Linked DNA regions of Rattus norvegicus. The protein of the gene in region 2 purifies or fractionates together with the protein of the main gene of each other region. This does not show direct contact. Links are inferred from orthologs where the notes say so. Each region holds a gene or a part of one and is shown on either strand. Other genes may lie near its edges.

Region 1 (5,713 bases), on a different chromosome or scaffold from region 2:
CATTACCTCATTTCACAGGTGGAGAAACAAGGCCCAGAGCGGCGGAGAGGTTAAGCCCGAGGTCATTCAAAGGGCTAGTGGTCGCACCCAGCCTGGAGCCCCGGTGGTCCCGGCGACGAGCCCTGCCGACCACCTCCCCCTCCCGCAGGAGGCGGCGGCGGGGTGGGTGGAACGCAGGCTCTGCAGCGGGCCGGTGCTGGGTCCCATGCTGGGCGCTCCCACTTACCAGCTGCGTGACCTTGGACTAATGTCTTCGCCTCTCTGCCTAAGCCTCCAAACTAGTGAAATGAGAACACAGCGCAACCTCGCAGGGCGCGCGCCGAGCCCGAGTGAGCCGTCTGCCAAGGCGCGGAGCTGATGCTGTCCGCGGGAGGGGCCCCCACACCCTGTCCCGGCCCCAAGAGGCTAGCAGTCCGTGGCCTCCACCACTAACACGAGCTCCCGCCGCCCAACCGAGGTCCGCCCCGCAGGCGCCACCCTACATGACTCCCCGGACCCCGCGTAGGTCACTCTCTCAGCAGGTCTCGGGGCCCGGGAGCCGGGCTCCCCCCGGGGCCTCCTCATCAGCGGGCCACTGAGTCCGCCATCTTCCCAGCAGCCCCCGGATCGTCCCCAGACACCAATCGCAGCCCGGCGCTAGGGAAGGGGAGACGTGGCTCCCGGCAGGCGCTGCGAGCAGAGGAGTCTCGAGCCCCGCCCTCCGCTTCCGGGAAGTGAGCATGTCGCGGGGGCGGGGCCACAGAACTTGTCGTGAAAGATGCAAAGAGCCGCGGTCCGCTGTCCAGCCCTGGGGTAGCTTGCGAACACAGGATCTAGGGCAGGTGCCATTTTCCTAGGACAAGGGCTCCCCACCCTCAAGCCCCACACAGACACACTAGGTGTGAAAACATCACAGTTTCTTTAATCTCCACAAATTCCAGAAAAACAACTCTCCCCCCCCTCAATTCCCCTTCGCCAGTCTTCACCAGTTTCCAATTCAGCCTAGGCATCTCTTTGAAACTAGATGTATCTTGATCCTCTGTCAGCACACTAAGATGGGCCCATTGGGGTGGTCTGGCTCTGTGCCAGGCCAAGGCAGCGGCAGCAGGTGCCTGATTCAGAAGAGCCCACTGTCAGAGAAGGCTGAGGGCCAGCAGCCCCAGGAGATGGCCCAGAGCTATGAAGATCACATGGGGTGGCCTCCGCTAACACCTGGAGTCCTCTGTTGCGCAAGGCTGGGCTCCAGGGTAGTGGGAAAAGACAGGCAGCGGGTGAGGTGGGCCTGGGCAGACAGCAGCTCCCTTTGCGCCTTGGGGAATGAGGTCCAGAGGGGCCGTCGACACTGCCAAAAGCCCGTGGAGGCACTACGGGCGATACATGGCAAAGGCCAGGAGACTGAGGAGCAGGGTGAAGCCGGCCAGGCCCAAGGTAGCGGTCAGGGGAAAGAAGGGCCGGTACTGGATCTGGCAGTACCAGAGCAGGAGCAGCAGCAGAAGCAGCAGGGGCAACAGAAGGCTGCCGATTTCCAGCCCGGAGGGGCCGGGCTCTGACCCCGGTGGGCAGGGAGGATGCGGGGGACCGACTCTTGTGGACACGTGGCAGTGGAGAACGCAGTTGGGGGGAAGGTGGAGACTGCCCAGTGTCTGGGTGTCGTCTCCTAGCAGTTGGCCTTGGTAGATGAGTCGAACCTGCTGTTCCCGGCCTGGAAACTGGGTTCTGAGGAGAGAGGGACCTGGGTAAGAAAGCAGGCCTCAGGCAATCCTGGTCCTTTGTTCAGAGAATCAATCCCAACTTTCACCCCTGCCCTACATCGGACCACCCAGATCCAGGCCTCTGAGGGGCTGATTGGAACAGGTTAACAGGTATGGCATGTAATGTGAGGAGACAGTTTTCTCAAACAGAAAAATGAGGGAGAATTTCATATGGTGGCCCTTCAATAGTCACCCACCCCATTTTTAACATTTTGTTCTCACCCTTTTCCAGGCTTACCTTTTCAAGGAGCCAATGGTGTCCTGAGGCCAGGCCCTGGCCACCTGTTCAGAGTCATTGAGAAATTTCAACCGTAGCAGTAAGGGTTCCTGTGGAGAGTCTGGAGGTGTTGATGCTGTGACCCCTGCCTCAGGCTCTGGCTGTGCAGATGGACCTCTGTGCCTCAGGCTGGGACTCTCAGCTCCTGGGGCCTCCTCTCTGATGCTATCAATGGCTGTCATGGCTTCACTGGGCTGTGCTGGTGTTGTGGTCCCTGACGACTGTGGTAGGGGATCTGTACTCTCAGTCGTATGTGTTGAGACCCAGGCGAGGGCCAGCACCAGAAGGCAGGCAAGCACCGAAAAAAGGACAGTCACCTCATCCCCTACGCCTTCAATCAAGGCCATGGCACCTGTGTTGCCAGAGGTGCTAAGGAGCTAGAGAGGTACAAAGAATTGGTGAGGGGCTGCTTTCTGGTCAGGAGTCATCCCAACTTCAACTGTCCGAGTTAGTCTACATTCTTGCCCACTCAGGATGAGGACTGGTCCAGCATCCTGTAGTCCCAAACTTGCCTTTTGGGTATGTCCCTTTCCATCACCAAGTTCCAAGACCTAACTTTGCTATCTGAGTTCTAGATCTTCATTCAGCTCCTGATTAACCCAAACCCTACATTCAAGAAAGGGCCTTGGGCTGGAGAGATGGCTCAGTGGTTACCAGGACTAGCCAGTTGCCTTTCCAGAGGTCCTGAGTTCAATTCCCAGCAACCACATGGTGGCTCGCAACCATCTGTAATGAGATCTGATGCCCTCTTCTGGTGTTTCTGAAGACAGCTACAGTGTACTCATAGATAAAATAAAGAAAGAAAGGGCCTTGCTTTTCTAACCAACCCTCTCCTTAAATTTAACCTTCATCAAACTTTACCCAAAAGCTTACCTATTCTTTGGTCCACTTCATCCCAAAGTTCACTCCTTCACCTATTTATAGTAAAGCTCATCTGACGCCCTGACTCCTAAGTTTCTCCGACAGAAGAGTCTCTATACCTCCCTGACTTCCCCCTTACCATCTACCCAAACCTCACCCACAACACAGACCGCTTTCCAAAGCTTCCTAGACAACCCCAAACGTCAAACTCCGCCCTTGGCCAATCTGGAGTCTACGGAGCTCAGTTGCCTACTCAGCTCGGCCCCTTCTCCGGGTCCACCCAAAGCCCATCCCGCAGCAATCCGACTCAGCACCTCCTGGGCGCCAAACCCAGAGGCCTCCAGACCCTTGATCTCTCGGGGCGAGCCTAGATTTAGCCTTCCCCACCCCCGACTGCTCCATCACTCCTCCCATCTGCCCGCCCCCCAGAGCTACTGGAGGGCACCAGCGATCTCGGGGCGGGGCAAGCAGGTCCCAGCTGTGGCCTGGGGCGACCGGGTGGGCGCGGCCACGCACAGAGACTCACCGCCCAGCTCCACCAGCTCCATTTCGGCTCCTCGGGCACTTCCGGGCCGAAGGCACCGAGGTCGCAGACACCTGAGGTCCCTCTCCTTCCCTGCTGCCGCGGCCCGGGAGCATTGTGGGGATTGTAGTTCGCCCTGTTTAGTTCCCGCCCTCCGCCCTGTGAACCCACGTGCCGGAATGGACCAGATGTTCCCGGTACCGGTAGATCTTCGATGCCCACGCGCCCCCACCCCCCGCCCTCCCCCTCAGAGAGGACCCAGGGGTTTTGCTTGTCCATAGAAGTTTGGTCAGCAGCGCAGCAAGAAACTCTATTTCCGCCGCCAGCTACTGGAGCATCTGTCACTCCTGACACCAACGTCAGTCTGCAGCACGTCAGAGCATCCGCGTTGGTGATACAGTGATGAAGGCTTTGGGGAGCGCAGGTGGCCACTACCCCAGTCTAGCCTGTATCACAGTGGACGTCAGAAAGCAGCTTGGTTTTCTAAACTGACTCTAGTCGAGGAGGCGTGAATTGCCCTCGCCACTTGCTAGGGAAGAGTGCCTGATCCCGGCTGTCTCCTTTTCTGGCCTGACCTCCACTGTGTCCCTATGAGATTGTAAAAGTGGCATAGACCTTGGAATAGAGCATACATCCTGAGGTCTCACGTAGACTCATCAGCTATAAAATGTCTGGTGGGTTATTTAATCTCTGAACAAGTATAATTCTTCTAGGTCAGTTGGAAAGAAGAAACGTAATGTTTTATTAAATAAGTATGACAGCTCTGTAAAATATATGTCACTATATTTTGCTCGCCTAGTATTAAAGCATCGGGTTCACCAAAACCTAAACTGAGAAATTGGCTAAGTATGGTGGCATAGCCCTGTAATCCCAGCACTGGGAGGTTGAGGTAATGATTAGGAGGTTTGAGACTACCTTTGGCCACCTAGAGAGACCCTGTCTTATTCCCCCCCACCCCTAAAAAAAGTGTTTCTGCATATAGCGATGGATCTGTGGTAGCTAATCTCTGTAGATTTTTCCTTGACTCCAGTAACTACAGAAATCTTGAATCCCCAGTTTTACAGACCAGCTTTTTTTTTCTTTTTCTTTTTCTTTTTCTTTTTCTTTTCTTTCTTTCTTTTTTTTTTTTTTTTTCGGAGCTGGGGACCGAACCCAGGGCCTTGCGCTTGCTAGGCAAGTGCTCTACCACTGAGCTAAATCCCCATCCCCGCAGACCAGCTTTTACTTGGGAGTTTGTGCATGCATGTATGTGTGTGTGTGTGTGATGCATACATGTGAGTGTACACATACAGGACTGGTCTCTGCTCCCTCTGCTAAGGTTGCAGGCAGAGGCTTCCATGCCTGGCTTTTGACATGAATACTGAGGAGTCAAATTGAGGTCCTTATGCTTGCAGAACAAGCCTCTAATTATTCTTTTAAAAGGGGGTTTGTATATTATATCTGCATGGGTGTTTGCCTAGAGTGATAGGCAGTTTTTAGGAGCCATGTAGATGTTGGGAACTGAATCAGGGTCTTCTGCAAGAGCAGCAACCGTAACAGGTACAGTCAGTGCTCTTAACCTCTGGGCCATCTCTCCAGCCCAATTCAACCCAGTCTGAATTAAAAATACTCTACTCTGGTCTTCTATGGATGGTGCTTCTGTTTAACTACTTCAGTTTTCAGATTAAGACCAGATCAAATATTGCCCTGGGCACATCAGTTTGGGTTTATAAAGTAAGTAACTAACTTGTCTCTAGTTTTTTCGTATTTCTTCATTTATGCTATATTTAAATATATATGTTTTATATGCTAGGTATTGTGCAAGATACTGAACATATAATGTTTTCCGTGCCTTCACTGATACATACACTAATAGAGGAATAGATATGTAGGCAGACAATCGATGAATGTTAAAGCAGGCAGGTGCTGGTGCCTGGGCAACACTTTGGAGCTTTTCCCCTTCAAGAAGTTCTGGGAGAACTTCTTCCTGCCAATTCTATCTAAGCATCTAACAGAGACGCTATGGGTGTGTGGGTTTGTTTGAAGTTTTGTTTTTGTTTTTCAGGATGGGGTTTCTATATGTAGCCCTGGCTGTCCTGGAACTCTTGATGTAGAGCAGGCTGGCCTTGAACTCACAGAGACCACCTACCTCTGCCTCCTCAGTGCTGGGATTGAAAGCACACATCTGCACCACCTGGCCAGAGTATTAGTATTAGTTTTAGAATTGTAAAGTACAAAAACTATAATTTTTTATGAGAAAAGCTGTATTTTCTGTTTAACTCCTTCAGTTTTCAGATTAAGACCAGGAAGTTGACAAGACATTCCTAAAGTCACACAGGTAGA
Region 2 (6,001 bases):
TAAAGGTGCTTGCTGTCAAACCTGACAACTTGAGTTCGATCCCTATAAACTCAAACAGCAAGAGAGACTAACTCTCTCGCAAGTTCTCTTCAGACCTCCACACATGCATTATAGCACATGTACACACACAAACAAAATCAAATAAATGTAAAAAGCTGATAAGATGTACAGATGCTAGCAAGCACATGAAAATATGCTCAATACTGCCAGCCATGAGGGAGATGTAAATCAGTAGCACGAGAGAGTGTATGCATGTGTATATACATGTATGTATGTATGCTTGCTTTGTTTGTTTGATTGGTTTTAAGATTTTGAAACAGGGTTTCCCTACGTAGTTCTGGCTGCCCTGAAACTCAAAAGACCAGACTGGCCTCTAGAAATCCATCTGACTCTGCCTCCCAAGTGCTGGGATTATTATTTCAATTTAGTTCCCGATGGGAAGATGGCTGACTGGTCAGAGCTGCTGCACGAGCATTAGGATCCGAGCTCAGACTCCCAGAGCACTGGTAGAAGCTGGGCACTGCAACACATATCTGTGCCTTATCACTGAGGACGAGGGAAGAGACAGGAAGATCCTGGGAGCTTGCCAGCCAGCCAGCCTCACTAGGCTCAAGGGGCGACTCTGGCTCAAAATAAAAAAAGTAAATAGGTAAATAGATCAGAAAGCAAACAAGTGCCCGTGCACACATACGCAGCCTCCCTCAAACACCAGAGATTTAAAGCCAGGCAAGCATGATATATGCCTGTAATCTTAGCACTTGGACAATAGGCTCACCACAAATTTGAGATCAGCCTGGACGGGGGTTTGGGAGTGTGTGGAGGGAGGGGGGGCGGCTGTCATTCTTAGCTTTGAGGCTATGTGAAAAAATAGCCATAAGGCTAGATTTGGCCTACAAGCCAAAGTTTCAGGTCAGAATTTGCTGACTCATTTTTCAATAAAAAAATACAGAGCACATGCCTTTTATCTTGGTGTTGTCGAGGCAGAGGTAAGCAGATCTTTATGGGTTTGAGGCCAGCCTAGTCTACAAAGAGGGTTCCGGGACAGCCAGGGCTGTTGCATAGAGAAACTCTGTCTGGAAAACACACAAAAAGACAAAGAAAACAAACAAACAAACAAACAAACCAACAACAAAACATAAAAGTAACGCTGTGTGGGAGCCACCTCAGCAATCCAGTACTTAGGAAGCTGGAGCAGGAGAGGAGTCTGAAGCCACCCTGGATACTACGAAGGAAGGCCCTGGGCTAAGGATATAAAAAAAGAGGTTCTATACCAAATAAATTTGGTAACACCAAGCAAGCAAAACATTTTATTATGCCAGCTTATTATAAAGCCCCAAATTTTTATTGTGAGAACTCTCCGTGCCTTTAATGTGGTACTTGCATTAAAACACTAAGAAAGGATAAAGGTCAGTAGCTTTTCCTGAACTTATTTTTACCACCAAATCCCATTTTCACTTATATCAAGTGTCCCTTTAAAAGAAATTCTCAAATTAATAAGTTTTAAAATCCAACAAATTAAGAGTATTCTCCTCACCACTGAGGACACCTGAGTCTAAGGCCATACTATCTTGAATGTTAGGTAACAACTGAATGACCGTTTCACAACTTTTGTTTTTCAATCTTGAGAAACATAAACAACAGGAAAACAGGCAAGAACTTTTGGATCAGCCCCAACCTTTTGTTTTGTGGAGGAAGTGTCAGCAGAATCGGGTCATAATATGGAACCTTTGCTTCTCCAGACAACATAAGCATTCTTAAGTACTCTATCAGGAAATGGAAGAGATCTACTTCGTGTTTGGTAAAGTGCAAAGTAAGGAAATCTAATGTTAGATTAGAAAAGTCTAGGTGTGCAAGTCAGGGCCATAAAAGAATTGGTCATATATGCTGGATGTATAGCTAGCTTACAAACTGCAGACATTCTCTCACATCTGTACACACACTGCTAGAGAAAGAATTAAAGTTCAGTTTATAAACCATGGAGAAGACTGACCCAAACAACCGCAGTCAGACATCCATTCTGTAATCGGAGTTCACTGGCAAGCAGAGCCTTGGGGAACACGGGCAATCCCAACATTTGGGAGGCTAAGGCAGGAAGACCATGAGTTTAAGGTCACCCTGGGCTACATATTGATACTCTGGAAAAGGGAGAGAGAGATGGAGGGAGTAAGAGGGAGAGAGAGAGAGAGAGACAGGGACAGAAACAGAGACACAGACACAGACAAGGCAAACAGAGACTGACCTAAATTGTCCTCAGCCTGGGCTGAGTGTCAGAGTGAGAGCCTGACTTAAAATAAAGTAAAAAAAAAAAAAATTAAACATGAAACAAAAAATTACTAACCAATGCAATGGATCCCGGTTTATTAATACGACATACATTTCAGATACTTTTTATCAGATGAGTCGTTCCAAAGTCCTTGAAAAGGATGGCAAATGTGACAACCAGGAAAAGATTACATAAGATCAAGTGTGCTGGCCTCACTGACAAGAGATAGAGACTAAGGAGGAGAGCTCAAGAAAGGCAAACAAAGAAATGTCACATTCAACAGGCATAATGGTACTAAGTAACGAGAGATGCTAGCACTCCAGACTGAAGCAGGAGGATCAGAAGTTCAAGGCCAATTTGAATTGCAAGAGGAGCTTGTGGACAGCCTGAGATCTTCGATATCCTGTCTCAGACCACAAAAGAAGTGTCACAAACATTCCGAAGAGAGAGTTATCCATGGAAAGATAGATTCACAATAAATACTCAGAATAAAAGACTTTCGAATTGGAAAGGACCACCTCCTGTATACTTTCTTTCACAAGGAGACAGTCAATCCTATCAGTGGTCACCTCTGATAAGTCTTCCGTTAAATTCTTATTACTATGTACACATTTGTCTTCCCCTAGAACCCACCTATTTAATCCTAGCTGTATCTCTTTCAGCTGCAAAGATTAAGCGGGAGCCCTCTTTGATATAACCCATCCACCCAATCCCCCCACCCCGCGCCAGCTTTTAAAGATAGTTATTCTCCTCCGGCGTTCTTTCCTAAGCTAGAAGTCTCAAAGATTCCAACGGGCTCCAGCTGCCTCGAATCGAATACCGCATTCACAGCGGGACAGCATTTCAGATGAAACACCAGTAGGTATAGGACTCCCGAGGAGAACATTCAAAAGAAGGTTTCCTAGGATCCAAACCCAGATTCGAAACAAGCTGTCGGGAAAGTCCAGGGCTGAAGAGCCCGCATCCCAGAGGATTTCAGAGCAGGCGCTGTTAAGGATCATGCTTTGAGAAGCAGTGCCCGGTTGGACAAGTGTGGAAACTAGGTTCAGTGAGGTAAAGGACTTGGCCTAGAACGCACAATTAGCAGCGAACTCAAGTCCAGGTCTCCTACGCTTCATCCCAAATCTGTTCACCAAGCTCCTCATCTCTCCACTCAACCAAATCACTAACTACCCACGTGAGACAGTCCCGCCCCCGAGGCTAAGAGGGAGTCAGGGCGAGCCCCTGCCTGGCAAGGAGCTTGAGCGCGCCCTTCCCTTTTCTTGGGCCCTAGTTTGCCCAATCTGTACCCAGGAATGCCAGTCTGATCTTTCTTCTGGGACCTGGACAGAGCCAGACTAGCTGTCTCCTGATCCTTGGTTTCAGGTGCCTCTGTCCCTGAGCCCCGGAAGGGGGTCCCACGCCTCCCGGGCCCGCCGTCCTAGCTCGTCACGTACCTGTCCCCGTAGAGCGAGCGCCAGCGACGCCACCAGTCCGTTCCCCTGTCCCACAGTGGACAAGCCAGTCTTAGAGACGCGTCAGTCAGGAAGATTGAACCTCCGAACCCTCCTACCCGGATCTTGATCACCTGACAAGGAGCCACCTCTATTAGAGCAACTTCCGGTTACAGCCGGAAAAGGCTGGTGTGGCAGCACTGCGTTCCGGCCCAGGCGCCGGGTTCTTAAGTTCCGCCCCGGGACAGGAAGGGGAGGGCTTTCGGCCTTTTCCCAGTGTTTCCTGGAGGAGGAAAAGTAGTTCAATGGGTGGCCTTGCTTGCTTCGCCTGCGTGAGGACTTGGGAATAAATGTGTGTTTGCACTCCAGTTAATCACATCATTCATTCGGGTGCTGGATCAGAACTTCAATATGGTTTTCAAAGCAGGCTTGGGATACGTGAGACCGTGTCGCAAAAAAATGGGCGGAAAGGGCTTCCTTCCTTGCTTTTAAAAAAAAAAAAGTCCTAGAGATACCAGCTTAGAATGCCTTGTATTAGAATGTAGGCAGTGGTTGTTCTGTTTTATTTAAAAAAAAAAAAAAGAGGCCAGGATATGTTTTGGTAGAGGCGCTGGTGAGGTGGGAAGGGTGCCTCAGCGGGCCCATCCTTAGGCATCTCTTCCCCGTGAGGCACCAGCCATACCACGGATATAGTTTGGAATAGTTAATTTAGGGCATGGGAAGTGGAGTTGGGAAGGGAGGAGGGAGAGAGAAGAGGCCGGGCAGGGACGCTTGGAGAGAGGGAGGGAGGGAGAGAGAAGGGGAGAAAGGGGCCAGGGAGAGAAGGAGCAAAGACTATGAAGGAGAGAAGGGGCGAACAGCCCCGTTTATAGTAAGCCAGGCACACCTGGCTGTTGCCAGGTAACTGTGGGCGGAGCCTAGAAGGAACGCTAACAGTGGTGATGAATGGGAATGGGTAAAACGACACAGCTCTCTTGAAGACTCTACTAGCCAAGTCCGTGAATTTTCAGTATCAAAATAATAAAGATAGTAAGAGTATAACTAACTGGAGCCCCGTGAGTTGGTTCAGCAGGTAAAGATGCTTGAGGCCAAACCTGTCAATTCTAGTTCAATCCCCAGAAACCCACCGGGGGGAAGGAGTCTGGCAAGTTATCACCTGACCTTCACATGTGTACAGATACACTTAATAAATACATCTTAATTTATTTTAAAACTATTTTATTTTAAAACTGATTAGATGAGCTTGTGACCAAAGAGGGATTTTTTTTTACAGTAGCAAGTGCATTTTTTTTATATTTAAAAAGTGACTAGAAAAATTGATGTTTTAACTTTCAATGTATAAAAAAAGTTAGTTCAGTGCAGGTGAATGCCTTTGCCGTGCAGCTGTGCTTTTTCGGGAGTGAGGGTGGGGGATACAGAGCAGGCACACCTCATTCTGTAGAACAAGAGGGATCTTCCATCCTGGCCTTGGACAAGCAGGAGTGGTAGCATCCCTGTGTGCAAGCTGAGGTGGGGCTGGCACACCAGCCTTAAAGTATCCTGCACCGGATGGCTTTCAGCTTGCTAGTGTGAAAGCCCAAAGGTGGCAGGTGAGCCTGCACCCTCTCTCCAGAGTTCATGACCTTATCAGTCTCTAGTTTTAGCTCCTCTGTGGAGGACCCAAGGGGACCGTCAGAGTACTCCTCTCCTTCTGTTCCTGGAAAAAGTAAGATTCTCTTGGGGGTTCTTTGGTATTATTTATACAAGAATTTAGAAGGGGCTAAAAGGAAGCCCAAGGATAACTTTGTTAGAGTTTGAGGAAAGCAATAAAGGCTAGTTGAAAACGCCAACAGCTGCCAGGAGATGGAGAAAAACTCACATCTTTTAAACTAGGCATGGGATAGAATTAGATTGCTTAATCGAGATATGGAAAAGGGCAGGTGGTGGCGGTGCATGCCTTTGATCCCAGCACTCAGAAGGCAGAGGTAGGCAGATCTTTGTGAGTTTGAGGCTAGCCTGGTCTACAGAGCAAATTCAAGACAGCAAGTTCTACACAGAGAAACCCAGTCTCAAAAAAAACCAAAAGAGAGGGTAGAAGGGAGGGACGGAAGGAGGGAGGGAGGGAAAGAGAGAGAGTGTGTGAGAAAGAGAGTGTATGAGAAAGAGAGAGAGAGAGAGAGGGAGGGAGGGAGGGAGGGAGGGAGGGAGGGGGAGAGGGAGGAAGGAAGGAGGGAGGGAGGGAGGGAGGGAGGAAGGAAGGAAGGAAGGAAGGAAGGAAGGAAGGAAGGAAGGAAGGAAAGAGAGATGGCTCAGCTGTTAAGACAGG

Evidence for each region.
Region 1: the proteins of Rnf185 (region 2) and Tmub1 purify together in Homo sapiens (affinity purification with mass spectrometry; 5 studies listed by BioGRID and IntAct, with this or other methods). This does not show direct contact. The link is inferred for Rattus norvegicus from reciprocal best matches to the Homo sapiens genes RNF185 and TMUB1.

What each region holds. Positions count from the first base shown.
Region 1 is NC_086022.1:11,619,664-11,625,376, reverse strand, and holds Tmub1 (transmembrane and ubiquitin-like domain-containing protein 1), read right to left. Parts: upstream 3,447-5,713; 5' UTR 3,395-3,446; intron 3,264-3,394; exon of another isoform or gene 3,183-3,263; intron 3,023-3,182; exon of another isoform or gene 2,881-3,022; intron 2,385-2,880; 5' UTR 2,355-2,384; coding exon 1,969-2,354; intron 1,696-1,968; coding exon 1,344-1,695; 3' UTR 880-1,343; downstream 1-879. Other genes in the region: Fastk (fas-activated serine/threonine kinase), read right to left, coding at 483-564. UniProt on the Homo sapiens protein: Involved in sterol-regulated ubiquitination and degradation of HMG-CoA reductase HMGCR. Involved in positive regulation of AMPA-selective glutamate receptor GRIA2 recycling to the cell surface.
Region 2 is NC_086032.1:82,549,661-82,555,661, forward strand, and holds the start of Rnf185 (E3 ubiquitin-protein ligase RNF185), read right to left. Parts: upstream 3,807-6,001; 5' UTR 3,700-3,806; exon of another isoform or gene 3,629-3,699; intron 3,317-3,628; exon of another isoform or gene 3,024-3,316; intron 1-3,023. UniProt on the Homo sapiens protein: E3 ubiquitin-protein ligase that regulates selective mitochondrial autophagy by mediating 'Lys-63'-linked polyubiquitination of BNIP1.